4 linked regions of the Alligator mississippiensis genome follow. The protein of the gene in region 4 interacts with the protein of the main gene of each other region in a pairwise test. Links are inferred from orthologs where the notes say so. Each region holds a gene or a part of one and is shown on either strand. Other genes may lie near its edges.

Region 1 (7,607 bases), on a different chromosome or scaffold from region 4:
ATCCAAGTAGATGACATCCATCTCAATTCCTGCATCTAAGCATTTTGTGACCTGGCCATAAAAAGAAACAAGGTTAGTTAGGCAGGTTCTACCTGCTATGAATCCATGCTGGTTGCCCTTTAGCATTGCTTTCCCCACTGGACTCCCACAAATGTGATCCTTAATAATTTTTTCAAAGGTTTTCCTGAGGATAGAGGTAAGACTAACTGGGCTATAGTTACTCAGCTCTTCCTTCCTCCCCTTCTTGAAAATAGGGACCACATTGGCCATTTTCCAGTCCTCTGAGACCTGACCTGAGCACCCAGAGTGTTCAAATAGCTATGCCAGTGGCCTGCTATGACATTGGCCAATTCCTTCAGCACCCTTGGATGAAGATCACCCGGGCCTGCTGACTTAAACACATCCAGCACCTCCAAGTGTCTTTTCACTAGGTCAGTGCTAACAGCTGGTGGGCTGGTTTCCCCTTTATGCCTGTCTATGATCCAACTGGGAGATTTGTCCTGATCCGAGTTCAGGAATACAGAGGCAAAAAACTCATTGAAGCGCTCACCTTTGTCCCCCGTGTCTGTCACTAATTGCTTTAGTTTGTCTTGTAGAGGCCTATGCTACCCTGCACCTTCTTTTTGCTCCCTATATACCTGAAGGAATTTTTGTTGTCTTTAATTTTTGTTGCCAGGCTAAGTTCCATTTCTGCTTTGGCCTTTCTAACTGCCTCCCTGCAAGTGTGGGGCAAGTAGGTATACTCCACCTTGGTAGCTCCCCCGCTTCCACAGCCTATATGCCTCTTTTTTTGTCCCTAGGCTTTTCTGGACCTCCCTGTTCAGCCAAGAGGGTTTCTTGGTCCCTTTGCCCCCTTTCGTGGCTCCTTTTGCACCCATAGGATTGCTTTCTTTAGGAATGACCATTCTTCCTGGACTCTTATCTCACCAGTTCTCCTGTTCTTCAGTGCCTTGCTACTAGTCTCCTGAGCACACTGAAGTTAGTCTTTCTGAAGTCTAACACTTCTGCTCTACTGTTTATCTTTCCCACCCTATGCCGGATAGTGAATTCAGCCAAGTGACGGTCACTATCCCCTATGTTACCTTGTGTCAGTAGATCTCCCACCAAATCATCCCCTGTAGCCAGGACCAAGTCCAGTAAGGCGTTTCCCCTACTGGTACTGTATACCTCCTATGTTAGGTGAAGGTCCTGTATGCAGGTTAAGAACCTATGTGAATGGCTGGATCTAGCTGACTGCTCCTCCCAGCAGATGTCTGGGTAGTTTAGGTCACCCATGACAACTACGTCCCTAGACTGTACTGCCTCTGAGAGCTGTCTGGAGAATTCCAGGTCCAGCTCCATCTCCTTCTAGTACAGGTTGCAATTGTTTGAGGATTTTTGATATAGTTTCCAGGGAGGGATGATATGTCATAGCCAGTGGTGTGCGATTCATGCAGGTTTTTTCTTCTGTACTGCAGCAATTCTTCACATGGTATCCAGTTGGCTCTTCCAATTGTGCAGTCTATCTCTCTGGAGGAGTGTCCTTGTTGAGTGAAAGCCTTTTTGAGTTTGGTGAGGTGGTAATCCCAGATGTTCTTCTCAGTGCAAATTTGGTGGTATTGGAGGGCTTGTCTGTATATTACAGCTGTCTTGGTGTGCTTAGGGTGATAGCTGTTTCTGTGCAGATATGTATGTTGGTCCATGGGTTTCTTGGATACAGTGTTTTGTATTTTACCATTCTGGATAGTGACCATTGTGTCTAAAAATTGAATGTTGGTGTTGGAGTATTCCAGAGATAGTCTGATGGAGGAGCGCTGCATATTGAATTTCTGATGGAAATCAATCAGACATGGCAGGTTTTCAATCCAAATGATAAAGATGTCATCAATTATATCTTAAGTATAGCAAGAGTTTGATGGTGCAGTCCTTGAGGAACTTTTCTTCCAGGTTGCTCATGAAAAGGTTGGCATACTGTGGGGCCATTTTGATGCCAATAGCTGTGCCCATGGTCTGGAGGAAGTGTTGATTATCGAAAGTGAAGTTGTTGTGTGTGAGGATGAAGTGTATAAGTTCGGTAATATCTTTGGGTCTGTACTCTGAGTTGCAATCTTGTTCTTGTAGATATGTAAGGCAGGACTGAATGCTATCTTGGTGTGGATGCTGGTATATAAGCTGGTAACATCCATGGTGGCTAGGAGGGTGTTGCTAAGAAGGTGGTCAATGCTTTTAAGTTTTCATAGAAAGTCTGTTGTGTCTTGGACAAAACTGGCTCTTCGGGTGACAAGATGTTTTAGGATGGATTGGATGAGACCTGATATTTCCTCAGTGAGGGTTCCATGGTTAGATATGAGAAGCCTGCCTGGGTTCCCTCATTTGTGGATTATAGGGAGCATGTAAAAAGTCCCTGGGTTGGGTAGTGGGGATATCAAGTTCTGTAGTTTTTCTTGTAGTTCTGATGGAAATGATTTTATGGCAGTTTTGAGTTCCAAGGTGAAAAGGGGAGTAGGATCATCCGCTAGTTTTTTGTAGTAGGTGGTGTCAGAGTTGTCTGTTGGCTTCTTTTATGTAGTCTTCATGGTTAAGGACAATCTGCTGGTTTTATTACTATTTGGTGGTTAGTTTTTAGGGATTCTATGGCCCTTCTCCCTGAGAGGGAAAGGTTGTTATGGTGGTTTTTGTTGTTGATTATTTCATTGTTTATTCTTTCTCTGAAGCAGTTAATATAGTGGTCAAGGTTTGGATTTTGTCCACTGTGAGGTGTCAATTCATATTCATATGGATGTATGCACACATGATGGTGGTGATCACTGATGTGCATGTGATGCATTACACATTACTATGCATCTTTAAGAATCATGCCTTCTGCCCACTAATCCATTTTCCCAGAACTATTTCTAATTCAAATGTTTGCTCTGCTTCACAGACACCTTTTTGTAATTGCCAGCTATATGTTGGGGGTTTTTTTTCTTGCAAGCAGGGAATCATGAAGCTATAGCCATTTAAAAATAAATTTAAAAAGATATCAACTTTCCATTGGGACATAGAGTATTTGACATTAGCTTTGGCAGACTGCATAATGTTATACCATATGAACAAAACAATATTTTGTCTGGAAAAGTCAGTTTAGATAATGTTGAAAACTGTCTAAATATGTTTTTTCTTCCTGAATCCAGTACAATTGGACTCATGGTACTCAAGGAACACAAGCTGTAGTACCATTAACATCTTTCTTCTGTTCTTTATGGTTATAAGCATATTTGTTGCTCCTACTCCTCCTTCCTGCTTCTGTTGTTGTTGTTCTCGGGGTTTTTTTACTTTATTCTTGTGGCAGGGATTTTGACTTCACCAGACAGCTGTTAACATGCTTGGAGACTACTGGAAAGAGATAATAATTAAAAAAAATAATTCTTTTTACATATACGCATTCATGCAAAGATGCATTGTAAAAATTTAATCTTTATATTGCAAGGTTGTAATGTTAACAATCACTTGCATTACAGTACAAACCTGAACAAAGAGGAAGATACTCAAATTCCAAGTCTTTTCTGGTAGGAGAGATTATATATATATTTTTTCTCATGTGTGTGAGAAATTTCTAGGTAAAGATTAACGGATGGTCCTGAATAACGATTTATCTCGTACATAATACAGCAATAAAAGTGGTATGTCATGTATACGGACACATTTTATATAAAAATATAAGGAAGTCCTTTCAGATCTCGCAGAGTTTCACTAGCTCCGATTCTCGAGGGCTGAGGATGTTTGACAGCCTCAGTGAACTTCTGTAAAAGACGGCGTGTTGTGATATAAACTGCTAGTCCTGGCACATGCTATGCCAGGGTGATGCTGGGATGGCATGTCATAATTACTCACAGCAACTTCACACTATCGCAAAGAAACACGTTGTTCCCCTGGGAGGACCTTCATAAAACATGATTTATGTCACGGCAATGGCAGCACCGGGACGATAGTGGTGGAGTGACATGGGCTTGTGGCCTGGTGTGATACATAGCACGGGCCTGTTGATTTTACGAACCAATGTGTTACACTGACGTGCCTCGTCAAGACTGGACCGGACTCTGCCATGCCTAACACCGCCGGTGCGAATACACATCAGTAGGAGAGTTAGAGTAAGCCCGTGATCCTCACCCAGGATGTGCGAGGTCCTTGCAAAGGCGCCGCGAGGGGCTTGGGAGGGCGCAACCGGGGGCGCACGTTTGGCTCTGCTCCACCTGAGGGTTCACACCAAACACCGGGCCCCGCTGCCGCCGACACGGCTCCTTCTCAGCGACCTGCTGCCTTAGAAACTGTCCAGCCCGCAGGTGCCAACCACCCCGCTTCCTAGTCACAGGTGCCAACCACCCCGCTGCCTGGTCAGGCCAGCCCTCCTTCTGGTCCCACTTGTACCTCATCCCCATGGCGGCCTCTTGGCCGTGTTTTCGCTTCGCTTGTCAAGTGAGCCCCCACCCCGGCCCAGGCCCGCGGCCGCCGCCACCGCCTCGCTTTTTCGTAAGTGCTGAAGCCCCCGCCCGCCCCTCGCCCGCACAGCGCCGCCCGGCGGGGGCGGGGCGGGGCGGGGCCGGGCCGGGCCGGGCCGGGCTGGGCGGAGCCAGCCGCCGCCGAGGAGGCGGAGGCGGAGCGGGAGCGGGTGAGAGGTCGGCCTGCGCCGGTCGCCCGTAGAGACGGTCCCGGGCTGCGGCGGCGGCGGTGGTGAGTGGGGCGGGAGGGCAGGGGAGAGCCGGGCCTGTGCCTGCCCCGCCGCGTTGCGGAGGGCCCTGCGGGCTGCCCGGGGCTGAGGGCGGCTGCGTCCGCACCTGCCCCACGTCGTCCCCGGCCGCGGCCTCGGCCTCCGGGCCGGGCAGTGCGCGCCCTCGGCTGCCGGCCCGGCCCCCTCCCCGGGCGGCCCAGCCCAGGCCTGCCACCCCCGGGCGCCGAAACCCCGGGTGATTTGCAGCTGGTTTTCTCGCCTTCCCGCCGGCTGCGAGCCCGTCCCCGGGCACTAGCAGCTCTGCGAGTCGGGTGTGTAGTCCCGGCCCTGGGAGACACCCCCCCCCCCCATATTTCCCGAGTCCAGCAGAGATTTGCGCACGAATTCGGGAGCCCGAAACTGCGGCGCCCCCATCCATCCTGGTTGTCACCCGTCACCCCGCACCGCCGGGCCCTTCAGTCTCCGCGTGTCTGGTTTTTCCTCTGAGGCGAAGGAGTTGGCTTTCTTCTGGGGAAGGTTGTGTTGGTTCAGGCCAGCCGAAGGCAGGACGATAAACGGCAAATCGTGTCACATTAGCGCATCGGTGTGGAGAGATTATTGGTGATATTATCGTATTACTTTGCAGAAAGCGCTCTCGTCGCACCCTGGCCACAAGCTGCGACTTGTCCTGCGCACAAGTTGGTTTTAGGGGTGTAGGTTGTAGCCGTGGTGGTCCAAGGGCTTAAGCAGACGAGGTTCGCTGGGTAAATCTGGTATCTTTTATTAGACCGACTCAAATCATTGGAAACATTCTTCCAACAATTTGAGTCGATCTAATAAAAGATGATACCATGTTGGTTTTAGCAAGTTTTAACGTGCGGTGTTATATTCCAAGGCTAAAAATGTTGACTCCTGAAATAAGTTTTTTAACCTGCATTGGGATCGTGTGGTAGGTACCTGTCAGTATTGCAGCTTAAATTTGGTGTGATTTGTCACGTTATTTGCCAGTATCACAGTTAACTTAGAGCCACTGGTGTAAGTAAGAAATTGTAGAATAAGAAGCTGCTATCTTGAATTTAACTTAATTATGAATCAGTTTGGAAATTAAACTTCCTGAATAAATGAATAACCTGCACTAAATAGTAGCATTTCTTGCTAGTCCAATACCAGCTAAATGAGATTAAAGGACTGGTATGCGGTTAAAGGCTTTTGAAGCCTATATTTCTTGCCCACATTGCATATATTACAGTAATTTAGAATCTCTTTAATCAATGCTAAATGACAAATATGTTTCATGAAGTGCTTTCCTTTAGAAATTAAGTATTGCAATAACTGTTAATTGTGTAAGCATACAACTAAGAAGTATTACAGTAACTGATTCCTGTAAACTTTTACTTTCATAATTGTACATTATTAGGTAATGAAACACTCAATACTTTCTCAGGACTCCTAACTTCTACTCGATTTAGGAGAAGATGCTGTCATAGGGTCAGAGGAAAGTAAAGCTGGAAGGGACCTCACAAGGTCATCTAGTCCAGTGGTTGTCAGCCTTTTTTGTACTGGGACCCATTCTTAAACATTGATGGCCAGTCCTGACCCAGTGCCCCTCACTCCTGACCTGCTGCTGAGTGTGTGAGGTGTGTGGGGTGGGGACGTGGGGAGTCCCAAGCAACCCCTCGCAGGCTGGATCTCTGCCAGCCTGCAAGGGAAAAGCTACGGGTTCCCTTTTTAAAGTGTGTCTGTGACCCTTTCATGTATTCTTGTGACCCACTCTTGGGTCATGACCCACAAATTGAGAAATGCTGATCTAGTCCAGCCCTTGCTGAAGGCAGGTTCATCCCTGAATAAACCATCCCAGCCAAGTGTCTCTCCAACAAGTTGGAGATTCCCCAGTTGTTCTAGGCAGCCTGTTCTAGTGTTTGACCACCCTCTCAGTCAAAACCTCCCTCTTAATCTCCAACCTAAATTTCCTCTGCTGAAGCTTGAGTCCATTGCTCATATTCCTGGACTATAGCCACAGAGAAAAGTCCATCTTCACCTTCTCTCTAATTGCCCTTCAGGTATTTGAAGACTGTTATCGTCCCCCCTCAGTCTTTTCTTTTCCACGCTGAATAACCCTAGCTTTTCCAGCCTTTCCTCATAAGTTTTGCTTCTGACACCCCTAATATCTTTTGCTCTGTGCTGGACTCTTCAAGAAGGATGTAGACAGACTAGAAAATGTGGGGCCCAAAACTTGACAGTTCTCCAGGTGTGGCTTTACCCATGCTGAGTAGAGGGGGAGAATCACTTCCCTTGATTTGAACGTGACACTTTTGTTAATGCAACTCAGTATACTGTTTGTTTTGGTTTTTTTGCCAACAAGAGCACGCTGTTGGTTCGTATTCAGCTTATGGTCGGGGAAGGGGGGATAGGGGGAGGGCGCTCTGCGTCCAGTCCATGTGTGAAATGTGGCCTGCAAAACCATGGTCTCCAGCTCGTAGGGCTCCCCATGGGTCTGAAAATTTGGCAGCAGGGGAGCAGTGGCAGTTAACAAATTCCCAAGCCCTTCGTGGTGGGGCTGGGGCTGGGGCACACTCCCTCCCCTCAGGCTGGATCGGGCAGCAGTGCCCCTGATGGCTGGGTCGAGGCCAGGCCACAGCCCCTATCCCCCATGTTTGGGTTGGGGCTAAGCCACTTCCCTTCCCCACAGCTGGATTGGTGCCTGACCATGCCCTCTCCTCTTGTGGGGCTGGGTCAAGTCCCCTTCCATGCAGACAGGTCAGGGTTGGGCTGCTCCTCCCCTTATGTGGCTAGATAGGACTTTACCTCATCTGCCCCAGCCCACTGGCCACAAAATTTGAGTACTGCTGGTCTATTGTAACTCCCAGTTCCTTATTTGCAGTACTGCAGCCTAGTGTCTCTGATGTATAATTGGGAGGGATGTACACAAGCTTTCAGCTAT
Region 2 (6,933 bases), on a different chromosome or scaffold from region 4:
AATAACACAGCCATTCAGTATCATTAGCTAAGGAAAATCTTGTCCCTTTTTATTCAGAAATTCAAAAAATTTCTTTCCTCAAAAGAAAAAAAAAAGCATTTCAAGGTGGTGTCTATGCCTAGCCATACAATTTCTGTGAAACACCATAGCACTCTGGGGAAAGCTGAGGGATCTTCTCCTGGGGGTCAGGTGGGGCAGTGGGGTGAGTGTGAGAGGCAGGAAGAGGTTTCTTGTATCTGGACATGAATGGCAATTGGGAGGTGTGCTTGGGATTGGCAGGAGGATTTGCTTGCATGGAGGTTTAGGCAGGGAGGTGGTGGTTGGGGAAGGTGATGAGGTTTTGTGGCATTATTTGGGAAATCCTGTCTGTGGGTTGACTGTTTATTGTAAGATGTTCTGAGCCTTTGGATAGGGTGGGATATACATCTAAAAATAGATAAGTAATTAAAAATAAACTTGTGACATATCCAGAGTCAGCTTCAGCATCTTCTAAAGAGGCTTTGTCAGAACTGATTAGTTGAGTGCCTCGGTACAGTGGAACTTCCTAGCACAAGGCACGGTGAGACAGGGGAATTCTCAGCATGGTGGAGAGCCCCGGTGTGGAAAAGTTCCCGCCGCTCATATGCAAATGCGCATACTCTAATTGGCCAGTTTCAAATTATTCCTATGTGGCGGCTGGCAATTGGCTCGCTAGCCGTATAAAGGGTTGGAGTCGTTTCTGCCCGGGTTGGAGAACTCCGTGCTCGTCTCGGAGCGGAACCTGGTGGTCTGATCACCCGCCAATGACTCCCCGTCGATGACCCCCCCCCCCCCGACACACGCCCGTGTCCTGCATGCTCGAGTTCAGACCCGGTTTAAAGATATCTCATCTTATAAGAGCTCCTCAGTTTGATTGTAACAGAAGTTGGAGTTTAAAGTTAACCTTCTTCCTACGCTGTACATCATGACAGTGTAAGTAAAGCCATCTTTGTTTGAACCAGTACGCGTTTGTGCCTAATTCTACTCCAGCGGTTGCAAGTACCCATCTACGTGCTGGGTTTGAGGCTACAACCCAGCCGGCCCCTTTCCCAGATCCCAAGCTCGGTCACCCACATGGCGTCACGAACAGGATCAGGATTAACAGGATCAGGATCGGAATCGGGATTTGGGGAAGACCCGATGGAGTTAGAGTTAGTTAGAAGCTGTCCCTGGCACAGTGGGAGACACCACGTGTCGAATGCTGTGGAGCTAGGCGCCCACATCGCCTATCACCAGGCGGGCGGAATAGGTGAAAGGTTTGTCAGCGGCTATCTTTCGCTGAAAGGGGAAGAAGAAGACTCGTCTCACTGAGCACGGACAAGATCACGCGGCGTCCGCTTGTGGATCATCATTCATGACGGTGCATCTGCGGGTGTGCGAGAATCGTCCAGAGCTGAATCGTGTCCAAGCACTTGTTTCGTGTGCTTGGGAGAGAGTGGGAAGCCGCAAAGGGGATTTGATTAGCTGTCCCATTATGCGTGCGACTCCATATAAATAGTGTAATATAAGTTAATTAATTGTTCAAAGAATGCTTTCTTTGCAGTTTTTTTTGTTCGAGGTTCAAGATACATGTCAGAGGCGGACCCAGAGAGAGGAAGAGAAGACGCAGAGGTCTGACATGCGACTTTGCCATGACACCTACTGAACTCCTCGTGATTGAACTTTTTGTAACCAATGTACTTACGTGTGTTTGTGTTTGTATTGGTTACTATTTGATTCGATCCGTTGAGGACGAACTTTTTTCGTTGTATGTTTTTGTATATAGCCGGTTACCCCTCGAGAGGAGTGACGAGTTAGACGGCGTGCATGTGCTTCAAATTCCAGCTGTACCGTCGGCAAGGGGGCATGTCAGAACTGATCAGTTGAGTGCCTTGGTACAGTGGAACTTTCTAGCACAAGGCACGGCGAGACAGGGGAATTCTCGGCACGGTGGAGAGCCCTGGCGTGGAAAAGTTCCCGCCACTCATATGCAAATGTGCATACTCTAATTGGCCGGTTTCAAATTATTCCTACGTGGCGGCTGGCAATTGGCTCGCTAGTCGTATAAAGGGTTGGAGTCATTTCCGCCCAGGTTGGAGAACTCCGTGCTCGTCTCAGAGTGGAACCTGGCGGTCTGATCACCCACCGACGACTCCCCATTGACGACCTCCCCCGACATACCCCCGTGTCCTGCATGCTCGAGTTCAGACCCAGGTTAAAGATATCTCGTCTTATAAGAGCTCCTTGGTTTGATTGTAACAGAAGTTGGAGTTTGAAGTTAACCTTCTTCCTATGCTGTACATCGTGACAGTGTAAGTAAAAGCCATCTTTGTTTGAACCAGTATGCGTTTGTGCCTAATTCTACTCCAGCGGTAGCAAGTGCCGGGTTTGTGGCTACAACCCAGCCGGCCCCTTTCCTGGATCCCAAGCTCGGTCACCCACAGCTTTAAAATGCTGGTGAATGAGGCCTCTAGATGGGATGAAGTTCACACATATATTACAGCAATGTTCATGAAATGGTCCACCCTGAGAACCTGAGCAAAAATAGCTTCTTGATAGGTAGGCATTGTGGTGATACCAAAAATTGTGGCTACATTGTGTTATTCAATAACTTTCTGCTTTAGTCCACAATCCTTTGCCTCAACATGGATAGGGCACCATCTGTAGTGACACCAGTGAGAGATACCCACTTTATATTATTTACATAAATGAAGAGAACACTGCATTAAACCCGTTTCCTCTTCTGCTTCAGTCTTTCAAGCCAAAGGACGTTTTTGTGTATTTGAAAGTCTTCTCAACTCCACTAATAGAAAATAAGGATCTGAGAAGTACCTGTAACATTGGTACTCTTACCTGAAGTGACTGAATATGCCACAAAATTGTCAGCAACATCTTGAAGCTGTAGTTTAAGATCATCACCAATGTCTTCAACTCTGCATGACACCATCATTTTAGAGAAGCTGACCTGACTACTAACAGACTCTTTTTCTGGGCAAAATATATCCATATTTTCTGCATAGTCTTTGAAGAACTCACTGTCAGTAAGGAGGTTTATCCCTCTTTGTTATGTACAATGTAGCTGGATAATGAAGAAACGTCACTGCCTTGAACAACCTTTTTAAAAACTGACTGTTGTGCAATAAGGCCTTTCTGCAACAACTCCAGATTTTTCTTTTGAACATCACCATAAAACTAATTGTAAGAACTATGATTTATATCATGATGCTGGTTTATGTTCCTTCATGATTTTTTTCTTCCAAATTAAGCACAACACTAAAGTTGGGTCAGAATGTGCCCAGGGACCGGTACTAGTATGTTGCTTTTCTCCGAGTGCATCTACATGTGTACTTTACTGAGGAGATGACCAATTAGCTCTGCAATAAAGCATCACTGTCTACATGTGCCAGTATTAAGGTACAGTAAATTAATTAATTAACTTGGCTGTAAGATAGTACTATCCTATAGCAGAGCTCTTTGCTGCACAGAAATGCACATGTGGATAGTGACTGGGACTGCAGCAGTTTGAGCCAAGACAGAGCAGCCCTGGGCTAGCAGCAGGCTCTGGGGATCATCTGTACTGGTCCACAGTTTTGGCACTCTTGTGCCCCTCCACTGCCTGATGCCACCACCTGGAGTCTGAGGCTGACCACCCAAGCTGGCTGCTCCAACCTGGCTTAAACTCCTGTGGTCCTGGGCGCAGGTGAAGACTGAGACCAGAAGCAGATGATTCTGGCATGAACTGTGCCATACTTTATTGAACCACAATAATAGCTCATGTAGATGCACCCTATGGGCACATCTCCATGAGCAGGAACATGCATTTCCCTGGGGATGTATGCAGCGCGTGCAGTGTGTGCCACCGTGCAGCACCACATGCCACACATGTGCACTCATCTGGACGCACCCTATGTGTACACATACACATTGTTACAAGGGTGCTCTCTATATACATATACATGAGCAGTTTGTTAACAAACTACAAGCAAATGGTGCTCAAGAATATGCATTTTTCCTGGACTTTAGCCCAATAAAACTTCTTGTTTTGCACTGCAGGGCTAAGGACAGAAGTTACACTAAACCAGTTTAAGTGATCAGAAACTGGTTTAAGCCTGTCAGAACAGAAGCTCAGTGCACGTAGACCAGTATCAAAATGACTGAAACTGGTTTAAGATAAACCTGGTTGAATGTAGTATTGGACTTAACTGATTTGGGTCAAACTGGTTTATGAAACTTCTGTCCCAGACCTCTTGCTGGTTCAAGTTAAATCAGAGGCCACCCAGCATGCTTTTTAGTCCTGGGCTGGTCTGTGCCATCTGCTCCAGAGAGCAGGGCTGGCCCTACCCCTCTGCTCCCTAGCTGGAGCAGTGAGGGCTGGCTGACAAGCGGGGGGGGAGGTGGAACTGTCCCCCTCAGACAAACCCCTGCTAGGGTCTGGGGCCAGGGAGGGAGGTTAAAAACACCCCTTCCCCCACTTAAAATGTACTGCTGGCTGCAACTGTGGACTACAAATCCCAGAGGCACCTGGAGCAGGAAGAGGAAGAAATGAGCAACCCTGCAGAGTCCTGCTGCTGTAATTCTGGACTGCAAATCCCAGAGACCTCAGGGGCAGCAGGAAAAAGAAGTGAATATACAGCCAGAGAGCTATGCTCCAATGCCCCTGGTTTCTGGCCTGAACCACTGTAGGCATGTGGCTGTGTTTTCTGAATCAAAGGTAAATGTCTGTTTCAATTTAATCTGTGCAGTTTAAACTAATTTGCAAAGACTGAATCAATTCAGCCTTAGGCTTTTTGACTATCTGTACCTAGTCCAGATGGTTTCCTCTATGCAGCTCCATGTCAGCTTGTCAAACACACTATCAGTGTAGCTGTAGTTCCTGACCCCTGCTCCAATAAATTGTGAGGCACTGCATCCCAGTCTACAGCCAAATGACATATTTATTGTTTTACTTGCTTTTGATATCAAAGCTTTATTTACAAACCATGCTAGTATCCAGCTCCATGAAAACCATCTATTCGGTTATGCCTTTTCAAAGCAGCGTAATGCATAGCATTATTTGTATTTGTGTTTATATGCACATGTGTGTATGTATACACATACAAAGATTTTTAAGTTGATGCTGGTCATAGAATTAGGTCATGATTAGCCAGAATTATAAGCAATAAATCTCTCAGTGTGGATCCCTAGGGCACACTATGTAGGAAATTAAAATTTTTTATATCTAGTGTTGATCTAAACAAACTTCCTTTTTAAATTAAACAAAACACATCTAAAGTCAGGTTCACTCCATTTTTCAGTGATAGTAAATCTGATGGTTTCCATAAGACATGTATGTACATTATTCCATAAAATAATGTACTTATTTCAGAGCTGCTGACCAAAGTTTGACTAATGCTATCTGTAATTTTAAAGGCACTTTTTAAAAATTACTCTTTTCTATCTGAAAAAAAGTTTCTATCCACTATATTTACAAGTAACCCCCAAATTCACTATTACTCAAAAGAGATTAGAGAGAAAATATTTTCAGTTTTCTTAATGTATTTATACAGCACTTGGTATATACTTCTGGTTCTCTGTTTCCACTGTATAATCAGTGGTTTCCGTTCTTTGTGTGGGCCTGTCACACAGCTGGAAAGGGCAGAAAACCCTTGGACAGCAGGGTAAATTAGCCACCTGGGAGTTTCCTGCAAAATATTGCTGCTTGTATCCACCCCACCCAACACCTCTCTGCATGTTCATTCCTTGGGAAGGGAATTCACACCAGCATCAGCATGAGGCTACGCAATTACCTAACATGCATTGGCCAATCATAAGCCATGCCCCCTGGCAAATCTCTATGTACTTCAGTTTGAAAACTACCACTCTATACTATGCTGCAGTGCAGACATGCCCAGAAAAAAAATGAAAATGTAAAACCCCCAAACCTCCAAGGGATGTTGGGGAAAAAAAATAGAACCAGAAGGTAGATTTAACCCTGCTTTTGAAATAGATACGTTTCCAAGCTGTCATCATCATCATCATGTTCTTGTATCTATTGCCATTATGATGGCATACAGAAATTTCAGTCAAGGATGAGGACTATTTTATGTTAGGTGCTATGCAAACAAGACACAAAGAAGTAGGACAACCACTGCCCCAGAGAGCTTTACAGTTGGTGACCCATAAAATGTAAATGGCTTCATCTGTGTGAATAACCACATTCTAAAGCAGATAAATCTTTGTTATGATGGACTTGAATGTCATAACATTTCTCCATCCAACTCCAGAAGTAATAAAATTGGGTTGATAATTGTTTTTAATTAAGCAGCTCAATTATAGCATTAAGCAAGGGCACCCAGCAGAAAACAAGTAGTCTCTGGGAAGTGAATAAGGCAAAACATATTTTTGCACCTTGATACAGAGTTCAGTGTGCACTCTGCTGTGTCAGCTCAGCTTCAGAGGTCATGTAGGAGAGAAGCAAGTTATCTTTTGTCTCATATAAGCTTTGGGTAAAAACCCTTACTCAGTTTAAATCCTGAAAAATTAGGCCTTACATGTTGACTTCAACAGGAGCTTGAATTAAAAAAAAAAAATTATATACATTTATTAAGGATGTTTTGCCGAGTTAGGATTTCAGGAATTAGCCCATAGGAGTGAGAGAGAAAAAAAAATAACAAAATGCAGTTTTATGTCTGGTGCATCATTCCTGCCAATGTGTGATTGTTCCCCCACAGTAAGTTTTCCAAAGCACTGTCCAGTCCAATTTTAAAATTACTCAATTGATGGGGCTTCCATACTTCAACGTTAGCCAATTTAGAATAAGTAAGTGTCGGATTACCCAAATATACTGAGGGAGCCACTGATGTATGTACAAGGTCACATGCACATGTTCTAAATTATTTTCCAAACTGCAGCTCAGAGGAAAAGGCAGACTCCAGGGGGTTCTGATAAAATTCAGTG
Region 3 (7,085 bases), on a different chromosome or scaffold from region 4:
AAGGCATATAATGTAGAATGGCACTTAGAAAAGAGTGGGCCAGACAACCCACATATAACTGGAATGTGTAAATGGATCAGATGACTGCAGGGAATAAGAGGAAGAAAAAAGATTAATTTGATCGTCCCTTGAAAGGAGAAAAAAGCAAAAACAACCCCCACCTCCACCACCAAATGGGTATCTGATAAGCCTGTCTGCCTTCTGAAAAGGAGACATATTGACATTGACAGGCTGCTGGACCTACTGCTATGATGTTGTGTGAAGAGAAGCAGAATAGGATTATTTAAATAGCAGGACAAGAGCCTTGTATGAAATGGGATTAAAATGTTGTATACTTCTTAACATGTAGGTGCTTCTGAATCCCAACTCCAACCTTTTTCAGGTTTATCCATTACTACAGTGAATAAACCTTGATGAACAAGTTCCATCATCTTTACCTTTTAGTGGAACGTACAAGATAATTCAGCATAAAAATCTGTCGATTACCTGCTGTGACTTGAGTCTTTTAGCTCAAAATATATTTGTTGCAGTGCTTCAGCATGCAGCTAAGTTACTGAAGTTTCACCCTCCAAGGAGCTGCACTGCAAGCTAAAGACAGTCTACAGAAAACATGGTAGTCTTTTTGCTTAATAACCCTAAACTATTTCTACATATTTCATAACTTCTATATTGTAAGTTGGAGCAAAAACACATTTGAAAGCACTTTTAGAAATAAAAAATGTGCACTTGTCCAACACCAAACTATGAAAGCGGGTCTTGAAACAACCAATAGTGAACATATATTCTTTCAGAAAACAAAACCTGTTCATTATAGGGTGTACACAGACATTCAGGAACATTAGGGAGAGGTTAGATTGAGTTAGAAATGGCCACCTGATCTAAGGTAATTTGGCATGGTGGTGGGGGGTGGGGACATTAGTGGGAGGCTGGGCTAGGGAGGATCGGGGGGCAAGTAGGCTCCGGAAAGGGGCTGGGGGAGAAACAAACATCGGTGCCAGGGAGGGGCTAAGGAAAGTGCAGCCCCAGGGCTAGGGTCAGTGGGTGAGCTTTTCCAGCCCTGGGGTTGTGCAGATCAGGGCAGTTAGATAGATCTAAAAATGGGCAACCCAATTTAAGTTAGACTATCTCAAAAGCAGTGTTAACTCAGATCAGGCCATCCACTTTTAGATCCATCTAACTGTCCTGACAAGCTCACATTTAGATCGTCCTAACTAGGGATCTAAGTGTAAGGTCAGCACCTGGGCGAACTAAGTTATATTGGGTGGTCATTTTTAATGCGATTTAACCTCCCCCCAACCTCCCCAAATGTCCATATGCACCCGTAATTTGTAGCCAATAGCAGCGTGCTTTTACCGTCTCAAAATGGACTTTCTGGTCCTCCTTTGTTGTTATAATATACTATGGTTACAAAGTTTTCTATACAATTACTATATGTGAGCCCAAGTCACCAAGTTTGGATCTGAATTTTACTGGATCAAGAGTTCTTGAACTCAGGGTTTGGTCCAGACAGACCTCTGACTTTTAATATGACTTGAATTTCAGCAAATTGTTCATGATTAATATCGAAGAAACAGGTTGTTGGTGATTTTTCCTTTTCTTATTAAATTTTTTTGAGTGAATTCCTTGTTGCTAAACATAAACACACACATACACATACATGGGATGTGCTGCTCACTGCTATTTTTTTCTTTTTGCTATCAAGATGATCCAAAAGAATGTCAAACAATATGAATTATCACACTGGAGTTTCTATGTTTTTTCAGAATATGCAACTTATTTGAAAATCACTATTATATTATTTTTATATCAAAATATTTTTCAGTTAGAATTTATACACAAATATATTATAATATTTATTACATACATGGGAGCACAAAAATTTAATTGAAGTCTCAGTGAGAAACACCATACAACATGCACAGAGGATGTTCACAAAAGTTACCATGATTGGCGTTCTAAAAAAAACTAGAATATGCAGATTCAGATTAAATTAGGTATTTATCATGCTTTTTATTCTGAATGGAATAGCCCACATAAAAATTCATCAGGAAACAGTTTTCATTAAGTTTTGGGCAAACCTAGAGTACAGCGGTAATTGTACAAATGCACCACAGCTGACCTTACATGAAAAAGCATGCTCATAATTTCTTGGCTTCATTCCAAAATAAACTCAACTGGTTTCACACAAAGTAAACTATTCTTGTGGCAATCTACCGTGAATCTCTGATTTAAAAAATATAAACTGAAAAAAAATGTAATCTGGCTTGCTTTTACAAAATGAGGGGTTACTTTTTGCCTGCAGCTGGAATATAGAGCATTTAAAGGGTAACTGCATTTATTTATCTTTCCCTAGGGAAGCAGCACCCTCCATATCACATTGCTTAGTGTTATAAAATGTGACACCAATATACCATGCTTTCCTCTTTTGCTATTTAACCTCTCTAAAATAACATTAAACTTCTAAAGACAAAGAATTCAACAACTCTTCTAAACTCACACGCACAAGAAATATACTTATATTCCATGCATTCAGTATCTAGTTATAGAAAGCAGCAAAGAGGGACATGTTCAAATGTAACTCCCGCTTTGACTGATTCTGTTACTTACCCTTCATCTGTCTGCTGTCTTTTGAATAAGCCAGGCACAGCTCAAATTTCTGGCTTTCATTTTCCTCCATTGTCCCTGCCTACTGCACAAGCTTTTTTCTCAAACTTTAAAACTGCAGCTTGAAAAACTACCAGAAACAGCCTCCAGGAAAAAAAGGAAACCACCCTCCTCTACAGCACAAAGTTCCTTTAAAAAATGAACTGCATTCCAGAAGTCCAAGTATTCGCTATGGATCGGTAATGGTCCTCAGTGGAATGGTGGGCAGTACTTCCAGAGGCTGCTGCTGCAGCTTACTGCTGCTGCTGAAATAGTCCTGAGCACTTCTCAGTGTGGGCCCCAACAGGTGATGGTCTTTTCTGCAGGCAAGATCCTAGCCTGCTTGTTTTCCACAGCCCCCAACTACACATATCCTGCAGCCAAGTAGCATTATGAAAGAGAACATTTCAAACATGATTACAGGCCTGAATCTCTGCTGGAATCCGAATCCTTCGCTTTTTAAATCTCTGTCATGGGACAAAGCCTTTCCACAGAATATTTTTTTTAAACACATAACCACTGAGCCCACAACATTCCTGATAAATGCTTCTCTGTCTTTTTTAACATGCAGTTTAAAAGTAATTCATTATGTAAACACTCCGAGGTTTTGTTTTCTGGTGAATACTTTCAAGCTGTTCACAGAGTAAGTAGAATGAATTTAAAACATATAAAGACAGCCCTTTTAGCAAAGCCAACAGAAATGAGCATAAACTACAGTAACCTATATGGAAGATGGAACGTTGGCTAGCACAGACTTTTGAAGTGCAAATAACCAAAGATATAACAATAAATCAAAAATTTTCTTCTAATTAGATTGGAAGCAGGAAGCCTGCAGGAGAAGCAGTAGACCCACTAGGTTGCAAGATAATACAGCAAGTGACGGAGGAGGATCAGTTTTCACCACATGATCCAACAGAGATTACCAAACTGGAATCTTGTCTATTAAGGTGGTGAAGCTGAGGCATAAGCACAGATAAATGAGTAAAAAGAAGATGTGCTGGAACAAACTGAAAAATTAAGGAACATCACATTACCAAGAGCAGAAGGCATATCCATCCAAGAGTTCTGAACAGGCTTAAAAATAAAGCATACCAAAGGTTCTAAAAATATATGCAGTTTCCCATTAAAATCAGCTATTACATTGGAGCTATATCTGAAAGGATAGGTAATATAGTAGCTATGATTTAAAAGAAAATAAAAGTCACTTGGGTAAGCCTGGGAATTCCAACCTTACTTCAGGATATGTAAGTACTTCACACCCCCACAATGAAGAAAGGTTGTAAGGGAACTGCTTTTGGAGGTTCCTTCTTGTGGGAGTATCTGGATGAAATGGTCAACCTTTTTATTTAGACGTTTGTGCAAAGAATTTTTGTAATTTTTCTTAAATTTAGTAAAGAAACTCAAAGAACATACTGTATTTTCCTGAATCCAAGATGACTTTGGATTTAAGATGACCACCTCTCCAACAATTAGATTTTATAAATGAAAAATTATAAATTTGTTAAAATTCTCCATGTAGAATCGAATTAGTGGAAGATTGTTTTAAATTTGTCCCATCCACTGCTGTGGTGGAGAAAGCAGAAACAAGGGAAGAAGGCCCCCTGTGCCTGCCACCCCTGCTGCCTGCATGTCCCACCATGTGTCCCTTGTCACATGCCTCTCCATGTCTGTGCCTGCCTCCTGCCTCCTACCCCTTGCCCTCATGCCTCTGTATGACTCCCATTCCCTGCTTCCCCACCCCTTGATCCCCACCTGTGGCCTTCCCCCTCACCCTTTTCTCCCTCCACACTGGTGCCTGTCCCTCCATGCCCTTCGTTTGTACCCCTGCTTCCCCTTACAGCCTGTCCCTTCATCTCCCATGCCTGTTACTGACCCCTCAGCTCCCTGTCTCCCTAGCACCCGCCCTCCCTGCAACCTGCCTCCTTCACCCTTTGCCCTCTGTGCCTGTGTAGGCCCCCTTACCTCCTCACCCTCTACCTCTGCTGCAGCCTGCCCTGCCACCCACTGCCTCCCCATGCCTGTGCCTGATCCCTTCTGCCTGTCTGTGCCTTCCCCCAACAACTCTCTGCCTCCTCCCTTACCTTCTTCTGCAGCTCTGGTCCTCTGGGGCACTCAGCAGCAGTGGCACCCCCAGCCCAGCCTGGCCAGGGAGAAGTGGTTGCAGGTCCCAGCCAACCCGAGTCGGGGCTGGAGGGACTGGAGCAAAAGGTAAGGAGAGGCAGGGGAGCAGGAGGTGGGGGGGAACAAGTTGCAGGGAAAAGTAGAGAATAGAGGGGCAGGTCTAGGAATAGGAGGAAGGGGCATGAGGCAGGCTGCAGGTTCCTCCCTTCCTCACCCACTGCAGTCCTGCCAGCTGTAAGTCTGCCTTCCCCCTCCCCTGCCCCCCCCCCCGAGCTATCCTGGCCTGGGGCAGACAGCAGCTCATTTCTGGCTTCAGCCCCAAGCCTGGGTCCTAAGCCAGAGCTGAGCTACTACCTGCCTGGGGCAGGTACTTGAATCCAAGATGAGTCCTGTTCCCCTGCCCCCTGATGGTGACTGGGGAAAAAACCCTCATCTTGGATTTGAGTAAATTTTCCTCATCTAAAATAGAGAAACTTCAAATCCTGTAATCACCATTAACAATATTAAACTACTAAATAATTTCAAGAACACTTCTTAGAAACTGCATAAGTTTCCAGCAATTCAAAACACCAAACACAATACCAATATGAAAGAGAAAAGCACCCTAAATATTAGCATGCTATTTAAGATCTGCAATATAACACGCTAACTGTTCTGAATAAAAATGATTCTCTAGCAATCCAGCAATTAAAAAAAAACATACTGCGAGATGTACAGTTTTTCTACTGTAATATTTTATTAACCTGAAAGTACATTCCACACACACTGATTTTTGCATTAGAGGCCGAAAAATGATGGGTGGGCATCCAATTCAATTACAGTTGAGCTCTGTGACACTGGAGACCATGCCCTTAATGACCAACTTCTGGAAGATCTTGTAGGTGTTATGAACAGTCAGATGGAATTGGAACACAATAAAACAGAACTCTTGTAAGCATCCCAAGCGCTAAGGCTACGTACTGACAGTCAGAAAAACCCAAGGCAGAATCAATCCAACCTTTGTGGGTTTCTTTAAACTGAAAATATTGGATCATGAGCAAACATAACATACATTCACCCTGGAGGGGGAGGCATTATTGCACCCTCCCAGTCTGGCAGCTGAGCAGGGTCATCCCTGATTGGCTGTGAGGCACATGCCCCCAGCCCCTACTGTGACTGCAAACCCTCCCCTGCCCAGAGACCTGGGTTTCCAGAGCTGGTAGTCATGGTAGCCTCTCCACCCCAGCCATGGCCCTCCTAGCTGGCTTCCCCCCACCGCAGGGCTCCCCTGTGGTGGGGGCTTTTCCCCCTGTAGCTTGACTGGGAGATTGTCCCATCCCTGCCCCTGTGCTGGTCCCAGCTTCTCAGCCAAGGGGGACAAGGGTGGAGGAACAGAGCCCCCCTTCCCTAGCCATACCCCCCCCAGCTGAGATCGGCACAGTGCAGGGGGGACCCCACAGCCTGGCCTTCCTTTCTGCAGCCCAGCTGAGTAATCACCCCAGCACCACTCCCATGCTGGACCCACCCTCTCAGCCAAATGGGATGGGGGGGACACACAGAGCACCCCTGCCCTAGCCATGGCTCCCCACCTGGGGTCTGCACAGTGTGGGTGGCCCCCCACAACAGTGGCTTTTCTCCCCACAGCCCGACTTTCTTCTCTTGCAGCCTAGCTGGGCAATTGAGGCTGGGTGATTGCACAACTGGGCTGTAGGAAGGAAAGCTAAGCTGCAGGGGGAAAGCCCCTGTTGCTGCCTTCCCTGCCCCACTATGTTGTTTTAGACTCCTGATCTAATGCCAAAGAACCAATGTTGAAAGTTTGGGGTCTGAATCCCCTGAAAATAGACCACAGAATGATTGGGGGTTGGGTATAGAAAACTACTACTCTGAAACCCAGAATTAATATAGCAATGTATGACTGAAAGGGACTCCTGGATCATCAAGTCCAGTCATCTTTTACCACAGACAACCTACATAATCCTTGCCTAAACTGATCAACTACATCTTAAAACTATTGAGGTTTTTTACCTGTATTGCTTTTCTGGAAGGTTGTTGCAGAACCTCAGTCTTCTAATTTCATAGACATTAGGGCTGGAAGGGACCTCGGAAGATCATCGAGTCCAGCCCCCCGCCCAAAGGGCAGGAAGTCAGCTGGGGTCATAGGATCCCAGCAAGATAAGCATCCAGTTTCATCTTGAAGGTGTTCAATGAAGGCGCTTGAACAACCTCCAGTGGCAGGCTGTTCCAGACCTTGGGGGCTCGGACAGTAAAGAAATTCTTCCTTATGTCCAGCCTGAAACGATCTTGTAGTAGTTTGTGACCATTCGACCTCGTCATCCCTTGGG
Region 4 (6,839 bases):
GCTACCCAGCCACCTATCTCACCAGCCATGCCTTGATGGAACAATAAGTATGATGTTACTCAGGTGGGAGGCTGCCCATTTCCTACACCAATGCTAGGGGTTGCTGCTCCAAACCTTCCCTACATGGTGGCCCACATCTTGCAGATGGTTTATAAATGTTGACCTATGCCCTAGGGAGTTGGGTCGGCTCACTCCCTGTCGTTGTGCCTCTTGGCACTGGGGTCTGCCACCTGTCACTGCACCCCCTGGTACTGGGGGTCTGATCATCCCCTGTCACTGCACCCCTCCTCCCCCCACCCCCCCAGCACAGGGGCTTTGCACAGTAGTGTGCCCCAATGAGGCCTTCTCTTTCCCAAATAGCCTCAGCCACTGGATAAAACAATAACATAAATATGAGCCCCTGAGCTATAACATAATACAAGTCATACAAGCCACACTCTGGCTCCTTAAAAACCCCAAACTGCTCCTCGTGTGTTTAGCACCCTCCAGCTCTGGGTACCTTGTAGATGCCTGGAGCCTCATTAGCCACAGCAACAGTCTGGCCAGCAGCCACAGAGTTCCTGGGTAGTTCTGCCGTGCAGGAGCTCTCTTCCCCTGGCCACTTGCCAGAGACCTCCTCCTGCCAGCCTTGGCCCTGGGGTTTATATGTGCCCAGAGGCCTATCCCCTTCCTGTGAGCTGACTGGCCTGGGTTTTTGGACTATTAACCCCTACCCTCCTGGTGCTTGGTGTTCCTGTAGACTCAGGTCTTAAAAAGGCAGCCCTGCCTCTTAGTAACCGGACTAGGGTTCCCTGTTACACCCTGCTTGGTGCTGTTAATTGGTTCCTGAGAAACCAAGCATTAAGCAAAATGAGCATTAAGTGAAACCAAAAGTTTTTAACGGCCCCAGATGATGACTGCATGTGTTTTTAGTGACCCAAGATGGCAACCATGAGCATTATAATAAACTCACTGAACACTAAGTGGAATCAGGTATCAATTTTAAAATGAACATTATAGCATTAATGCATTATAGCATTATAGCAAAATAGTGCTAAGCAAAACAGACATGGAGCATGGTATAGGGAAGGATTAGAGTCACACACTTAGCACATAAGGCTTGAGGTGCCCTGTGCAGCACAGTACTAGAGTGAGGTCCTGCAAAGGGCCCAAGGACCAGTGAGTTCTTGTGGAGTTCAGTGGACCAGGGCCAACCACAAGCCTGTGGGCAGCCTCCTGATTCATTATTTTACCATCAAGACATGGCAGGGGAGGCAAGACTTGGGCACCCTTAGGGCAGAGCTGGCACAGTTGCGGAGCTGCCAGGGGCATCACAGCCAACCCTGGGGACCCCAACCCGTGACATTTAGTTTTAAACTACTTATCTTATTTAATTGGATTTTGTTCTGAGAAATGAGAAAAGACAGTTTACACAATAGCTACAGACACATGTGACATGCTAACTCTGTAAGAAAGAATATTTTCATAAAAAAATTATGAGATATTTCTCCAAGCTCCCTAATCTAATCTATCAGATCAGGCACACTGCCATGATGTCTGGAGATTGGGGATTCATACAGACAACTCCCATCAGCCAGAGCTATGTCATCAGCTGTTTTATCAAACTTCATTCAACTGACAATTTGTTCTGCCTGTGAACCATCTAGGGATGTTCTGTGCTACTATGAATTCTCAAAATGTCAAGTCCTAATTGGTTTGGGGGCCACAACCACACCTTCTGTAATGGCTCTGCCCCAAGCACAAATTGAGACAACATTATTCATTAGTGACCTTACAGTCAAGATTTCAGAACACCTGGCCCATTTTTTGAGTTACCCTGAAATACTTGCTGCTGGCCATTTCCACTATCTATATTATTTGTCATTTGAGTCTTTACCATCATCCAATCTGGGAAGATATCCCAGGGAAAAGTCCAGAGCAAAATTTATTTTTCTGTGAAGCTAAAAACACAAAAGTGCATATGGTTCAGAAAAAGAAATTATGCATACTTAAAGTCTGTATGCATGCCAACATTGAGTAAGACCTGTGAGAGAGAAACAAAAAAGATGTCCGTTTGGGAGTGATGTTCTTTGGAGTTTGGAAAATAAAGGAGAGAATAGCTTTGAAAACATTTATTTTGGGAAATTCTACTGAGACAGTCACTGAACTCAGTTTCCAGTGGCCAATTTCACTCAATTTGTTCATTTTGCTGCGTTAACATTAGGAATAACTGCAGGTAACAAGAACATGGAAAACCAAAAAAGAAATAAATATTGCCTCCTGCCACTTTAAGATATACTTGAAATCTGGTGTGCAAGAATACGGGGTATCCATCACAGTGCCTGGAAAAACAGCCAACAATAAAACTGAGCAAACAAAGAACAGCTTGCTGGAGTCTAAGAAAAAAAGAAAGGACAGCTCTTATTTATAAAATCTCTTCTGAGCAGCATAGGAAGAGAGTCAGAGTACTATTTCTGGGAGTTTCCTGATCCCATTTCCTCCATGGGCTGGAAATGATAGAAAGGGAACTTTGTCTTCCTCCCCTTTAGCCTCATACTTTATCCCTTCCCTGACTACCTTAGTGTGTGTGCTTGATTTCCCATCACAAACCTTTCCTAAATTACATTTCATTATAATACCCCCTGTTCCCTCAAAAGAATTTTAAGGGGCATTGCTCCTCTGTAAAACTATGTAGATTGAAAATCAGTTTCATTGGAGAGTGAGATGGCTAGCACCACATCCAAGAAGTCAGCAAGTGGGTATTTCTTTAAGCACCCACACTTTGCATACTCGTTTTGATATTTCTAAACTTAGCAAAAAAGGAGAGCCCTGGGATAATGAGATGCATGTGAGATCTGAAGAGGGTTCATGTCTCTTTAGGAAAGTTAGGGTGAGGTTCCAAATTTCAGGTTTACTGTGGGAAGCCAACTCCCAATCTGGAGCAACTGCAGTATCCCAACAGTAATGTAGCTAAACTGCAATGAACAACCCTATAATGACAAATAGGATATGCTATAACTGATGATGGCCAAGAGTAGTCCAGACAGATCTTCCACTGATGTCAGCCAGTCTCTGGATGACTTCAGGGCTGTGCTTATGTACAATTAGGATCAATATGGCATGCAGTCAGAGGCTTCCATTTGTAACGTCTCTGACTTCATGCTAAAGTTCCTTAAATGTATGTTCCTTCCTATGTGCTGATGTAACAGTGTCATCAAAGCGGAAGAATGGTCTAGAAGTTAAGCCTGTAGCCTGGAATTTGGGAGATCCAGGTTCAGTTCAAATGCCACAAACTTGTGTGACCTTGGACAAAGCCACTTAGCACCAGATCTTATTCCTCCTATTAGGAGCCTAAGTGCATTTGGTGCCCCATTACATCCTGCTAAGTCCCTGGAAACCCATCAATACATATACTTCTGTAGTGCTGCATCATCTTAAACCTCAGTCTAACATCACATCCACAGAAACTTCTTAGGTGTTTTTAGTAAAATTGAAGTTCTCACTCGATACATGAAAATGAACTTAAAATGAAGATCTGTTATTGTTCAGTTAGTTATAATAGAACAGGAGCAGTAGTGAAGGTAATGCCTTGATGATGCCATAGTACTGCACAGGGTGGGCAAGTATATATAAAGCTCAGGCATCCTCAGATTAAACAGAACAAAGGTCTGTGGTTGCTAAGAGCAGTGCAGCTCATTTCCATTACAGATCTTGTGCTACTTTAGGTATGATTCCTTAAAAGGCTAGCAGAACAGAGGTGCTATGGTTCTTATCTCCTTTGGATGGCTGGTCCTTTGGAGATATTGTATTTATAGCTCATCTGTAAACCAATGCCTGTCTAATTGCTAAATACATAGTTTGAGTAATCTAATAAAGCAATAAGCTTCTGCACTTGTCCTGTCCTCTCATTCTCAGACCAGAGAGCAGAGGCACCACCAAGCTGCAGCAAGGTAAGCACAAATCATTGTTTTTACTCCCCTTTCTGCCTCATTTTGAGAGGCAGACTTCCAAAATGCTCTACATACAGATCTACAGAAGATGGCATTCTTAGTGATTTGTTCATCTCTTCCTATAGATGTAGCATTTCACTTTATAGTTCCAGCCTAATGCTGGAAGCCAAACACTAAGTAACAGCTGTTCCTTATGCCTCTGCACTAATAATATACTGTCATGTTTTCACATTCTCAGAGAATACAACCATGTATAACTATAATCACTTCCCTGGACTCTGGGTATGAACAGGAAAGCGAGTGACTTCAGACAGAAAGCTTTTGATTAGTTTTTTTTTTTCCTCTATTAGCTTTTTCTCCTTTACTGATGAATATTTGGAAACAGAATGTGCATACAGAAACAAAAGAAAGATGAAACATATTGCTATTCAGCTATTTCTCCTTGACACCATTTCCTGATGGCCTTGGGAGAAAGAAAGTACAGATGACATTTACTGATGTCATGTTTAAACAACTATTTATTATGGATTATGGCAGCTGTGCAAAAGAAGAAAAAGTACTGATATGTTATGCAGTGTGAAAGCAGGAATTCTTCATAACCAGTATGTGAAATAGCATTAGCCAGAACTTGCAGGCAACTACTATCAGTTAAATGAATTATTTTTAACCTGATCTCAGAGTGAAGATTTTCAAATGAAGCCTAATAAAAGAAAACCTCTTTGGGAAAATAAGATAGTTTGGATGGAATTTGTGCTCACTTGATATGGTGTCTATGTTAGAAGGATTCTAAGCAAATACCTCAAAACTCCCCCAAAGTGGGAAAGAATCATGAAATTTCTTGCATAGATGAGGATTAAAGCCAATACTTTCACACTGTGTCTAAGGTTATTTATTATACTAATATTATGGGACTGAAATGAACATTTTCTACTTTTCCAAACATAGGTCGGAATGCTGTTTTCCACCCTTTTTGGGGAACGTGGAAGAGAGAGCCATATCTCTTCTCCATATGCTGCATCACAAATCAGATGTAATGTAGCCACCTTCATGCAGCACTATGACATCAGTTTTGGCACGTAACATGCGCAGAGCACAGTGGTATGGGTAACTGCGATGCTCCCTGTTGTGGTCCTAAGGCAGTACAGACAGGCCCTGAGAGTCTGAAAGCCTAGTGAAGTCTGCTGGAATGCTTCAGCTGGCTCCAACAGATTTGGATTGAGTTCAGTTTCTAAATGTGGATTCAGGTACCTAACTTTAGACACCTGGAGACAAATCCTCAGCAGGTGCAAACTGTCACCCACTGAGGATATTGCCCCTAAGCGTGAAAGTTTTAGAGCCAGCTGTCATGGCATAGTGCCAGCAGCACCTCTGTCTCTTCTTGCTGAGCGCACACACATGCAGGTGTTGGGTCTTGTGCCTTTATCTCCCATAGGGTGGAACTATGCAGTTCTTCTACTTTTACACCAGGTTTTAATTCAACGCCCACCATGCTTACTCAGGAGGTCTAAAAGGGTGCAAGTTGAGCAGTTATTTGTGAATCGGTGACCAGATGACCTTTTTAAGCCAAATCTTGTTTAATCCTAACAGGAGGAATATTGCATAATACAAGAGTAAAAGGAGTTTGAAAACAAGCAGCAGTGCACAAACATGTCTGTTTTATGTAAAGAATTACCATCCCTGGTGGATTCCTAGGAAAGGTTAATGTCTTCAGCTCTCCCAGAGGCTGTCAGTATGCATCAGTCTGTTTTTCAATAGTTATTGTTCCCCTTCTAGCTAGAGACTCTCTGTTTCAAATCCTTATATTCCTTCAGTCCTTTTGGCTCCCAGAATTTGCAAAATATATTTTTAATTTGGCTGGTGTCTAGAAGTAGCATCTTTATACCTAAAAGCACTGCTTCATATCTTTATGGACCTGAAGTCATTACTAGGTGTCTTACTTGGAGCCATTGTCCATTTCCTTCTTGTTTCTTCCAGTAGCCTACTATTAAATTAAACCAACCTATTCCTCAGCTTTGTATATGGACACTATGTTGAGATTTTTTTATTCTCCTTTAAAAACTGAGAAGGCATCTGTGGGAAGGAATTAGGTGTTTCATTTTACAGATGCTTTCTGTAAATGTTAGGCCAAAAATTAGTTTACATTTTATTTTACCTTGGAAAAAATGCCAGTGTAATGCAGGAATATATTTTTTAAAGCAGTACTCTTTGCTGCATTGAATTTAAAAGTCAAATTTGAAAAAGACCAAAACCACTCAATTTTAAAACTAACAACAGTTCTTTATTAACAACCAGCATTTGAAAAATACGATTAAATAGATAAATAACTTTATTTTTCCCTTCAAAATATCAAAACATCAGAACAAGAAAAACCTTTGATAGAAATTGCCAATAAGCTTAGAGAAGTAGATCCATTAAAATGGCTGTTTTACACAGAAAGTCTAAAAGGCTGTTTCTAAGGAAGAAAACTCAGAGAGGGAAAGGAATATGAACACATACTTTGAGTGAAATCTTGTCCCTGTTTTTTGAATTTTGCCCCAAACTTCCATTGATTTCAAGGAGGCCAAGATATTCCCTTTCCCTTTTATTTTAAATGACACTGAGTTTGTGTAGTTTTATAACAGTACAGGATTTTTCCACATCAATTTTCTTTTTGGAGGGCTAACTAAAAAATGTCTACTCACAGGCAGCTTGTATCTTAACTACCTGCAAGAGAGTTTTTTCAACTTGGATTACTTTTTACTGGCTGCAATATTTTATCTCTAGCTTTATACCATGGCAAGTTCAGTTTCATGCTGATAAATCCAGGGCAATTTCAACAATGTCAGTTCGTCATATAATGCTGATTAGGTCCAGGAGGCCTGACTGCATATTTGACATACTTCCCAGTTTTTTAAAAAGTGGGGTGACCAT

What was found.
Region 1: the proteins of FHL2 (region 4) and GNG12 interact in binary tests that used the Homo sapiens proteins (3 or more experiments, as listed by UniProt). The link is inferred for Alligator mississippiensis from reciprocal best matches to the Homo sapiens genes FHL2 and GNG12.
Region 2: the proteins of FHL2 (region 4) and SAXO1 interact in binary tests that used the Homo sapiens proteins (3 or more experiments, as listed by UniProt). The two-hybrid records come from large-scale screens. The link is inferred for Alligator mississippiensis from reciprocal best matches to the Homo sapiens genes FHL2 and SAXO1.
Region 3: the proteins of FHL2 (region 4) and KIAA1217 interact in binary tests that used the Homo sapiens proteins (3 or more experiments, as listed by UniProt). The two-hybrid records come from large-scale screens. The link is inferred for Alligator mississippiensis from reciprocal best matches to the Homo sapiens genes FHL2 and KIAA1217.

What each region holds. Positions count from the first base shown.
Region 1 is NC_081828.1:18,411,139-18,418,745, reverse strand, and holds the start of GNG12 (guanine nucleotide-binding protein G(I)/G(S)/G(O) subunit gamma-12), read left to right. Parts: upstream 1-4,593; 5' UTR 4,594-4,686; exon of another isoform or gene 4,687-4,689; intron 4,690-7,607. UniProt on the Homo sapiens protein: Guanine nucleotide-binding proteins (G proteins) are involved as a modulator or transducer in various transmembrane signaling systems.
Region 2 is NC_081826.1:178,421,187-178,428,119, reverse strand, and holds the start of SAXO1 (stabilizer of axonemal microtubules 1), read right to left. Parts: upstream 3,005-6,933; coding exon 2,851-3,004; intron 1-2,850. UniProt on the Homo sapiens protein: May play a role in the regulation of cilium length. Stabilizes microtubules at low temperature.
Region 3 is NC_081828.1:187,252,971-187,260,055, reverse strand, and holds the start of KIAA1217 (sickle tail protein homolog), read right to left. Parts: upstream 3,016-7,085; 5' UTR 2,678-3,015; coding exon 2,608-2,677; intron 1-2,607. UniProt on the Homo sapiens protein: Required for normal development of intervertebral disks.
Region 4 is NC_081824.1:347,635,450-347,642,288, reverse strand, and holds the start of FHL2 (four and a half LIM domains protein 2), read left to right. Parts: upstream 1-3,831; 5' UTR 3,832-3,929; intron 3,930-6,839. UniProt on the Homo sapiens protein: May function as a molecular transmitter linking various signaling pathways to transcriptional regulation. Negatively regulates the transcriptional repressor E4F1 and may function in cell growth.